Linked DNA regions of Arabidopsis thaliana. The main gene of each other region encodes a partner of the protein of the gene in region 2 in a complex. Each region holds a gene or a part of one and is shown on either strand. Other genes may lie near its edges. The genes, in order: BGLU21 and JAL22.

What was found.
Region 1: JAL22 (region 2) and BGLU21 share a complex: the UniProt entries of both Arabidopsis thaliana proteins name them as parts of the PYK10 complex.

Annotation. Positions count from the first base shown.
Region 1 is NC_003070.9:24,699,299-24,705,150, forward strand, and holds BGLU21 (Glycosyl hydrolase superfamily protein), read right to left. Parts: upstream 3,869-5,852; 5' UTR 3,698-3,868; coding exon 3,533-3,697; intron 3,331-3,532; coding exon 3,261-3,330; intron 3,144-3,260; coding exon 3,088-3,143; intron 3,001-3,087; coding exon 2,925-3,000; intron 2,758-2,924; coding exon 2,680-2,757; intron 2,590-2,679; coding exon 2,502-2,589; intron 2,413-2,501; coding exon 2,160-2,412; intron 2,040-2,159; coding exon 1,924-2,039; intron 1,846-1,923; coding exon 1,628-1,845; intron 1,521-1,627; coding exon 1,486-1,520; intron 1,402-1,485; coding exon 1,299-1,401; intron 1,208-1,298; coding exon 1,099-1,207; intron 1,020-1,098; coding exon 812-1,019; 3' UTR 570-811; downstream 1-569. UniProt on the Arabidopsis thaliana protein: Beta-D-glucosidase active on scopolin >> esculin >> 4-MU-glucoside > DIMBOA-glucoside. No activity with pNP-glucoside, oNP-glucoside and sinigrin as substrates.
Region 2 is NC_003071.7:16,413,411-16,418,850, forward strand, and holds JAL22 (jacalin-related lectin 22), read right to left. Parts: upstream 3,436-5,440; 5' UTR 3,369-3,435; intron 3,328-3,368; exon of another isoform or gene 2,921-3,327; 5' UTR 2,914-2,920; coding exon 2,713-2,913; intron 2,390-2,712; coding exon 1,928-2,389; intron 1,655-1,927; coding exon 1,196-1,654; intron 1,107-1,195; coding exon 852-1,106; 3' UTR 624-851; downstream 1-623. Other genes in the region: AT2G39320 (Cysteine proteinases superfamily protein), read right to left, coding at 4,182-4,429, 4,542-4,761, 4,907-4,981, 5,081-5,107. UniProt on the Arabidopsis thaliana protein: Inhibitor-type lectin that may regulate the correct polymerization and activation of BGLU23/PYK10 upon tissue damage.

The DNA.
Region 1 (5,852 bases), on a different chromosome or scaffold from region 2:
GGCCTTTAAATTTTTTGCTTTTAAAAAAAAAATCTTGAAAATCACTATTTACATAAATCGTTTTTGATAAGTGACTACTAGTAAGATAGAATGTGATGATTTCATTATTAACACATACGTTTGATTGTTTTTTTTTGTTTTTTTTTGCTTGCTAAGAATGAAATATGAATTTCCAAAGTAATGAATGATGTTGGTATTGCATGGTGGATTTATTTGGTTGCATCATGCATGGATTTTATTTCCTTAAGGTATATAGAAAATACGCTTGGCCAAATGAGTGAAAAAGAGATATCTTCTCTTGCTGGTCGTCCTGTTTTTTAATCTAAACTAGTGACTTTCAAAAATAAAATATTAGAACTGTTTGGGAAAATGAATTGCCATTGTTTATTTCATCGCCAACGTTTAAGTTGTTAGTTTTTGAAATGTTTGTACTTAGTTGTTAAGACGACGTCAAATTATTTCCTAATCTATTTCTATGTATAGAGGTAAATTCGTATTTTTAATTTTCTAAAACTAATGATATTTTCTTACATCATTTTGTAACTCATAAATTTTTTAATGTTAAGGTTGTATGATTCAATTTTTCTTCAAGTTTGGAAGGTAAAACATATTTAACTTCACATATTGATTCTCAAAAAGGATAACGTCATTAAAACTAAAGCCTTCTTGATCTTGTCGAATAAGCTAGAGATTGAAGGAAAACGAAACACTTTTATTATTATTAACCACGACTCATGAATCGTGCGTGGTCAATCACAAACTAAAACATAGGAAAAACATCGAATAGAAAACGAAATCCTCAAAATATAACTTAAAGCTCATCCCTCTTGAGTGCGGATGGACGAACACCTTGAGCGAGGAAATCTTTGTAATACTTGGCTGATTCTTTCTCATAACGTGTGAGGTTATTTTTGAAATCGACGTAATAGAGTCCGAATCTGTTTTTGTAACCATCTTGCCATTCGAAGTTATCCAACAATGACCATACAAAGTATCCCGTAACTCTCACCTTATCGATGCTGCACAAACACAATTATGTTCTTAATTAGACCATTCAATAGAATCGTTAGTCAATCTATCAAATAATAAAAGGCTTACCAAATAGCCTCGTTCATAGCCAGAAGATGCCTCTGAAGATAATATTTCCTGTTATGATCAGCAGTACCAACGTCAACCGAATCTGTGGTCCCAAGTTTATCTCCATATCCTAGAAAAAACAACATTATAATGATCAGTATATTACTCTTAAGAGTTAAGATTAAATCAACACACAAATATAACAATAAATCTCGAGTTACCATTTTCCATTATCATAATCTCCGGGTTTGCGTATTTGTCCTTGATGTACTTTAAAAGCTTTCTAAATCCTTTAGCGTAGACGGGCAATGCAGCAGTAAGAGGCTGAAATAAAGCAATGGTGAAAATGTTATGTCGTAGACAAAAATTAACAATCACAAACTAGGACTAGTTTAATCAAACGCTTACCATGCTACCAATGGCGCTGTGATCTACATTCTTAGCTGAAAAATAAAAAGTGAAAATGTATGCATATCAATTAGTATTATAAAACCTTTTATCTTTAGTTTCTTGGTTTGGTTTCATGTACGGAAAACAAAAAAAAACTTACGTTCCCAGGAAACAAGAGAATCTTGCTTCCAACTTGGTTTAGACGGATCTGGCTTCTCATTATAATTTGAAAATGTCGAAGTATAGTAGTTAAGCCCTACGAAATCGGTCGAATCTTTCAATTTTGCTTTTTGTGCAGCAGTAAATTGAGGCAATCTGTAACCAAGAAGGTCTTTCATGATTTGTGGATAATCTCCCGAAGTAGTTGGCTCCAGATGCCTACACAAAATTAATAACTACATTAATTTTTATGAAATTATATACGAGAAACCATTTTCTAACATAATATATACTTACCATCCCAACATAAAGTCAAGTACACGGCTAACAGTTGGAGCGTCATTTGAATCTTTAAGATCATGTGGTTCGAACCAAGCCGGACTATGTGCGATTCCGATTTTCCCACCTTTAACCTATGTCCATAAACACAACACAAAACAACCTATTTTAAGATTCGAAACCTGATAATTAATTGTGATTTATATCTAATGTGACCTGATAATTAATTATGATTTATATCTAATGTAAACTACCTTTTGGCGGAAAACTTCAACAGCTTCTGCGTGAGCGTTGAGGAGATTGTGACTGACTAGATAAGCCTCTTTACCAGATTGTCCCTCTCGGTCTTCGCAACCTGGAACGTAGCGAGAACAACGTCCTGGTGCTTTCTTTCCTAAGTCGTAACCTGCGTGAGCAAAGACCCATGGCTCGTTGAAAGTGATCCAGTTTTTCACTTTTCCACCGTATTCAGTGAAAACATAATCTGCATATTCTCGAAAATCTTTCCTGTATTTTTGCAAAAAAAAAAGATACCAAATTAATAATTTCCATATAAACTTAACTAAATGTATTTTGTTTAATTTACAAAAACATACACAATGTTTTGGCTTAAGAAACCGCCATATTCGTCTTCCAAATCTTGTGGAGTGTCCCAATGGAAAACAGTCACAAACGGAACTATACCTATTTATGACGTAAAATAGAAAGAAATGTTAAATAAGGATACTATATTACTTGTATTTTTGTGAACTAGGTATTTTATATGTATATAACCATTTTTAAGGAGTTCATCGATGAGCTCGTGGTAGAATTGCACACCAGCTTGACTCACTCCCTTCTCCTTTCTCCCATCTAATAAAGCATTACAGTTTGTTTCATTAGTTATTGATACTTCAACATTCACATATACATCATCTAAATTCATTGGTTATTAGTATTATATAACAATCACATAAATCTAATTTCACCAAATTCGATTAAAACAAAATCAAACTAGAGATCTGCAGACATATACTCACGAGGAAATATTCTTGACCATGCGATTGAGAGTCTGAATGCATCTGTGTTTAGATTCTTCATTAGCTGAATATCTTCCTACAAACATTTTTAAGACAAGGCAAAATTTCAATAACATCTCGAGAATATAAGTTATGTTTGTCTTAAATTTATATTAATATATACCTTATAACGATGGAAGAAATCAACGGCCACATCGGCGTGGTCGCCACTACATCTCTCTGTAATTTGAAAGTAATTAAGAAAATTAATGGCTATGTATTGATATTAATTAGTTAAATTTAATTTAATATTTAAACATACTGTATTGAGAATGTAGATTATACGAGTACACTCACCTGGATTTCTTCTACAGTAGATATCCCATAGAGCCGGTCCACGACAAGTTTCATTAATTGCACCTTCGACCTAATGACATAACAAAAAATAGTTGATGAGTTGAGGAATATCACATGCACAAATGATTTCAAATGATAGGTATAACATATTTTGAGCAACTTTTACATAAAAAAAAACCATATTTTAAAAATATGGATTTGAATTCAGATAGAAACACAATAACGACACTACTTTTTGTTTTTTGAACTATGATTTAGTAAATCTGTTGTACCTGAAACGCAGCAGTAGCCGTGCCAAACAAAAACCCATTAGGGAAACTTGCTCGGCTTAGCTTGGAAGTCGCCGGGCAAACAGGATCATCAACCGCTGTTGTCACAGAGACGAGGATGGTTAGGAGCAAAAGCAGCCCCATGAGAGGAAACTTTTGCAATGCCATTTTTGTTTTTAGTTTCTTCTGGAAGAGAACAAGTTTATGATGATTTGTTTACATCCAATCGGAGTTCTTTATATAGCGATTTTGATTGTTTGTTAACGAGTGACTAAAATATAATTGTTTAGTAAAACTATTTTATATATAGGATGATTCATTGCATGACCTCGACCGTTGTGTTCTTACTTAGTTTGGAACATATTATATTGTGCGTGGAACTAATATAAGTTCTTCATCCATTTTGGATTTAATTATTTGATTAGTCCATTTTGGATATCATAATCTCCCAATATGATTATTTGTGTTTCATAATAAACCTTTTTCGGAATAACTCTTATGTACTTTGTCTATGGTTTCGATAATTAACTATGTTCATATATATATAAATATATAATATTGGTGTTTTATATAATTTAATAATTGTATATTATTTATTTGGTAATTTTTGGTTTAAACCACTGTCGCATCTACTGCTAAGCCAATCATAAAATTGCCGTAAATACACATATTTTTAACTGTAAACCAGTCATTTAAAATGTCCGATAACGTTTAAAACCTCAACCAATTACTTCCATTAACTTCCACAATGACAACCACACCCCGTTGCATTTAAACCAACGAAAACCCTAAATAATAACAAGCCTATTTTTGATACTCAAATAATTGGAGACTTTATTATTTTTCAAAACTTAATTGTAAAAACATATTTTTTAACTTGTTTAACGAACATTACTCTTAATCTTTCATAAATCAGTTTCTAATTCGAAAAAAAGTTATACCTTATTCTGAAAAAATTCAGGTAGCAAGTAAAGGATCTCTCATTTAATGTTTGGACTAATGAATGACTAAACTATATGAGTATGTATTTAGTAAGACTATTTTTATAGTATATAGGATGCTTCATGGCACGATCTCGATCATTGTATTATATATAGTTTAGTAAATCTATTTAATAAATAGGATGATTCATTGCATTATCTCGATCATTGACTAATTCTTACTTATTTTTCCTAGTTTGGAACATATTATATTGGGCGTGGAACATATAATATAAAAACGTGACTTAAAAATATATCATGTATGTCCAAAAAAAAAGTTTACAGCATGAGGAGTCCTCGAACCAATCGGCCGGCCCTAAGTCAATGGATCATTTAGTGCCTCGTATAGATCTAGATCGAGTTTTGGATCTTATTTTGTTATGGACGTTAAGTTATTAATGTGTTAGTGACTAAAATATAAATATATAATACAACTGTTTAATAGGATGACTCATTCCATGATCTATATGGTTTACATTACTTTTTTGTTTTCCAATATATAGTCCTCGTGTCTAAAACTCTAAACTAAATTATATCCTCTTTATATTTTATAATTGACACATTTTGCGCGAATAAAAAGACAAATCATTAACTATACAAATATACCATTACTTTATTAGATGATATTTCCTCTATTTCAAATTATATGATGTTTTAGATTAAAACACACACTTTAAGAAATTTATTTTTAATTATAAAATTTGTTCTCTTGATATTAAAAATACAAAATACAAACCAATAGTCAAATAATCAAATAAAATATATTTAAAAATTGCATTGATATTAGTAAAACATCCTAAATAAATCTCTGAAATATCCTATATAATGAATCAGAGTGAGTGTTAAATTTAAAACAAAAATATGAATAAATTAAAGAATAAACGTGGAAGTTTATTTGAAAAGTAAAATTGGAAATTTAAAATAACATGTTTTTTTTTGAAACAAAATAAAAATTCCACAAGAACACTAGTGGTTGTTATACAGAAGGACTATTATTAAATATTTTAAATTGGATGATTTCATTGCACGATATATAAACGTTGAGTTGTTTTTTATTTTTCTAAATCTTGAACGTATAATATTCATCATGCATAAACGTTGAGTTGTTTTTTTTATTGAACAGAAATAAAAATCCTCAAAATATAACTTAAAGCTCATCCCTCTTTATCGCGGATGGACTTAGGCCGTGTTCGTTTCATCAGTCAGATGGATCATCTAGATAGAGATGAGTTTTGATGTTCGTTTGGTGCCAAAAACGGTTCATTCAGATGATCTATCCAAATAAATCATCTGGATGACTTTGAAAATTTAAGCTAAATTTTGAAACTTATTTGGCTGAATTT
Region 2 (5,440 bases):
AAATTCAAAATAGAGAAACCAAAAAATCGATGGAGTTATGAAGTTTACCGTATAAACAGAGAGATTGATTCCTCAAAATCGGAAATCGAGGAGATATGGAGGGAAACTCAATCAAAAATCAAAACCGATATTATCAAAGCTGAGTTTTTTTACGGCGTTTAGTTAAACGGAGAGACTTTTTTTACAAGAAGGAAGAAAGCGTTACGGCGGCAGTGTAACGGAGAGAGAAAGGCGTAAGGACAGAGAAACAGGGTTTCTCCGTAAATTCGAGTAGCAATGAAGGGTAATATGGGAAATTGAGTCCGTTCACTTTTTAAATCTTTTTGAAGGAGCGGGCCTTTTTGATTGTTTTTTATTGTGGGCCTAAAATTGTCTTTTTTAGCTGTATATTTTGGTAAGCAAGCATTACTCAATTTTGTTTTTGCCTTTCTCTTAATTAAAACAAATAAGATAATCAGTCTCTGTGAGATTTTTAATTGCTAACTTGTTTGAGGTTTTAAATAGTACCATGCTTTGATAATTATCAGTAAAATATAATGTGGACTAATAAATCTTAGTGATTTGTAATAATAATGTGGTATTTTTTTTCTATTTATGCTAACTAATAAAATAACTAGAATTGATTAGGGGATTTATTGAAATTAATAGGCATGTAGATTTTTAGAACCAGATTAATTTTTTGGCAGTAAATAACAAGAAATCACAAGCCAATCTTATTGGAATTATTAGCACACAGTAAGTTACTTGAACTTACAACCACGTATTAAAAGTAACATAGTAAAGAGAACACACACACACACACACTCCAATCTTATTGGAAGTTTCATGTAGTATATATGACTAACTGGTTTTCACTCGGTGGTGGTGATGGGCACGATAGTGACTCCGATGCTGTGAACAACATCACTAGCTTGTCCATGGAATCCAACGATCTTGTGGCCTTCCTCTCCAAGCGAGAACTTCTTACCAGAATCCATTCCAAACGGCATTGACTCCCTTTTGTTGGTCTTAAACTGAAGACATACAATTATTGGTTCCTCAACTCCGAAGATCTTATCGTAGTAGCCATCTATGTTCATGAGATATTCACCATCTTCAAGCACAAACTGCAAAGATTCAAAACCAACAAAGGATAAGTGTAAATAATCTAGAATGAATTGAAAAAAAAAAAAAAAAATTGTTGTTTTTAAATGACCTCTTCAGCTCCGAGTAATGTCTTCTTCCCATGGTCATCTCCGGGTACAAGGTCTTTGCCCTTACTGTACTCAAATTTGACAAAGGATACACCATCGTTACCTTGTCCTACAAGTATCTTCCTTACACCGTCGTAGACACCATCATCCCATGTAACTCCTTCGTTGCCGCCTATCGCTGGTAGTTTCTTAGATGGAATCAAGGGAGTAGGAGTAGGAACAGGTCCAAAATATGCTCCAAGAGCATCAATAGCTGCATCTTCCTTTCCATGGAACCCGACAAGCCTATGACCCTTTTGCTCCAACACAAACTTCTTACCCACATTATACCCAAAGAATGATGTTCTCCCCTTTGATGTTAAGAACTTAAGTGACGTAATTGCCGTATTGCTAAAAATGTTTGGCTTCTGATAGGTTGCTTCCACCGATTTGATGTATTCATCTGGGTAACCAAGCACAAACTGCAACAAGAAGCAACAAAATAAGAAGACTTTTTGTCTTAAGAGATCTAAATACATGTGTCAATTATATCTACAAAAATTTGAACCGGAGTGTGTGAGAGTTATACTTCATACTACTGCAAAGAATCTACAAACACAATAATTAATCATTGATATTTGGAACCTAATTTATGTCGTTGTACTAATGATCACATATAAATAGAGTTTAACAATTTATAACATTTTTGAGAAATTATTGAACTAGTCGTGTATAAGAAGAACTAGTAAAGTTACCTCGGATGGTGTATCTCCTTTCCCCCCATGGTTACATGTTTTTGCTTCCCCGTCTTTCTCGTACTCAACCTCTAAATAAGTGATACGAGAATTATCTTGATCAATACGCAGCGTTTTAATGCCATCGTAAGAACCATCATCCCAAACACGCCCGTCTGTACCACCTTGGGCATCAAGCTTGTAAAGAGGGAACGGCGTGGTATCCAATACAAAGTAAACTCCAAGAGCGTCGACAGCATCACCTGCCCGTCCATGAAACCCTACGATCTTCTTTCCCTCATCCTCAAAAACAAACTTTGTACCGGTCGTAATTCCAAGTAAGTTTGGACCAAACAATGGAGACTTTCTACCCTTTGAGGTCTTGAAGACGAGGGACGTAATCACCTCTGTGGCAATGAGAGCCACTTGGTGGTAACTTCCCTCCACTGCTATGATGTGTTCGTCCGGGTATTGAATTACAAACTGTATGTAATAGTAACATATATTCAATAAAATTTATAGTATTTAATATTGATAGGTTTAGGATAATTCTCAAGATTTCCTAGTCCTAATATACAGTATCTGAGTTTTGGTTTTATAACGTTGTCTTAGTGTTTGTGTCTTATTCATTTACACAAGTAGTGTAATACAAAAAAATTAGAGAGTCACTAAAGGGTATCCGCCTCAGAAATACTTGCTTCTTCTTGTTTATGTCTTAAAGGATTTATCCAACGTTAATCCGAATTCACAAGAGTAATTTACTAGTATCGCAAAAAATTAAGGGTGAGAATAAATGCAATGAGAACCTCTTTAGGGTGCTGATTTGTTGTCCCATATTCAGTTGTTACTACTTCGCCGTCTTCCTGCACGTACTCAAACTTGATGTAAGTGATACGGTTGAGATCTTGCCCTACATACACTTTTCTTACACCCTCATATACATCGTCGTCCCATTCTTGTCCTCCCTCACCACCGCAGAGTGCCAACTTCCGGTACATCTTCGCCATTTCGAATCTAAAAAATATTGTAAAATGCAAAAATTACTTCTTATATAGATAATCCAAAAACGAAAGTATATATGTACAGCTTTATATATAGTTTTTAAAGCTGGTTTGTGGTTAGTAATACATAAATACCATGATAACACTGTATAGCCTATTCAAATACATAGCAAAAACACCAAAATGATCCAAGAAACACAAATAGAACAATCAACTGATCATGGGTAAATATTTACTGTTTGATGTTGATAGCTCTATTATTGGTGATGTGGTGTAATATAAATCAATCAATTAGGTTTAAAAGTGTTTGTTAAATCTAATATATTCAAGAATACATATCTACATATAAAGAGCTACTTCTTGTTTTAAAAACATTTTGTGAAGCAACATACATAGTAGTGGAAACTAGGAGTTACTTTAAAAAAAAAAAAAAAAAAAAAAATTGAAGGGAGAGAGATAACCAGTTAATTATTGAGCTCTGAATGATGGAAGGAGATGAAGCTTATGGGTATTGAATTGTGTGTATTTATTGACAATCTTTGGCATACAAGGTCTTCTTGATTGTCTTTAATTAATCATTTTAATAATCAACTCGTGTGACACGAGAGACTCCCTCACAAATGCAACAAATAATTAGAGTCCATTACGAGTGCAATATATAATAATAGCATACAACTTTCTAGATGCAGAGATATTTTAAAGTACGACAGATGAACAAAACAATTCATCAAAACAGCATAAACCAAATTCAATATATTGTTAACTAAAACAAATTTGATGATGTTAATGTTGCGATTCCCACCAAAATCTCCTATTTAGTATTAAGAATCTTTTTGACTGCACATTTTGAAAACAGATTTAGAATTATTATCTTCAAACTAAAACGGTGTATAAGCTTTATTTCCTAAGTTACTGTCAGAAATATCATTCATTAAAGTTTCAAATGAATTTAACAGTTATTTAAATTTTGTATAAACTGTGTTCATGCAAAAGTTTGGCTTATCATCATCATATATTCATGTCCTTGCTTTTTGGAGTCGTTGAGGATCGACGGTTGGATACCATGGAGACGATGGTCAAGTTATTTTGGGACGCTGATGTTATGTCATGATGACTCTTTCACATTATCATGTTGTGTTTTATGATTATCAGTATCTAAGGCTCAAAACTAGAATAAGCTCGAAAAGAACATAAAAGAGTCAAAACAACCACAATGATCCCAATAATAACATACAACTTGTCAAATGCAGATACACTTAATTTATCAAAACAAATCATTCAGAATAGTGAAAGTGGTGATTTCTGTTCTTCTTCTCCTTCTTCTCCTTCTTCTCTTTCTGCACCTTGGCTTTCTTCTTATCCTCCTTATCCTTCTTCTTATCCTCCTTGTCCTTTTTCTTCTCCTCCTTCTCCATGTCCTTCCTTTCCTTCTCCTCCTCCTCCTTTTTCTTCGCCTCATTCTCCTTCTTCCTCTGTAGCTTCATCCAGACTGCAGAACTCGATGATGAAGATGAACGTGAACCTGAAGCAGCCAACAAGACGAAGAATAAGAATGATACAATATTGCTCAAAGCCTCAAATCAAGAGTAAGGAGATGAGATGTATATACAATGGAGAAGGAAGAGAACGTTAACCTTTTTCTTTATTTTTTTTGTAGATGGAGTTGAAATGGATCCCAGCTAGATAGCTCATATGAATGACTTTGTCCGGTTCCTTTTGAGACTTGGGCAAAAACTCCATAAATGGAATAAGTTTGATTGATGTAATGAGTATTATTTTTACTTGATACACATCAGCAGCCACTCTCAAAGTCACTTCATCGCCCCATTGGGAATTAGTGGACAATGACATGTTCTTTATGGGAGAAGTCCATATGATCAACAAACCCTTTGTAAATCTTCGGATGAGTTTTAAGCTGAGAGTCATCAATCAATCAATCATCATATGACATTAATACACGTATGAAAAAAACAATCAAAAGTTTGAAGATTGATATTACCTGTTTTACGATTTCTTGTCTAACAAGTTCATGACAATCCGAATTTTGATAAAGTTGATCCGCCAAAGCACGGAACTGAAATAGAATTATTGACAAAAACATGAAAAAGGGTTATTCATAATACGATCAAAAATATATATCAAGTTGATTGTTTGATATAGAAACATTAATTACCTGGCAATTTCCATCACTTTTCATCATGATTTCGGTGTAATTTTCCCATTCCAATCTGAAAATCCAGGAAGAATAAGAAATAACATATATAGTCAGAGATTATCAGGCAAAAAAATAATTGGAACAAAGTTTACAAGAAGAATCGATCAATACCTATACTCAAGTATTTCGCGATCACTAAGACCGTCCAAACACAACGACTTGGTCTGAGTATTAGACATCTTTTAGAGTTGAGATTGATCGATGGTTATTGATTCAGAACAGAGTCTCGATCTCCTCTCTTAGAAAAGATTAGGGCTGCTAGGTTTAACGTTTCTCAAAAAAAAAAATCTTTCTCCAACAGTTAATTGTGAATTATGA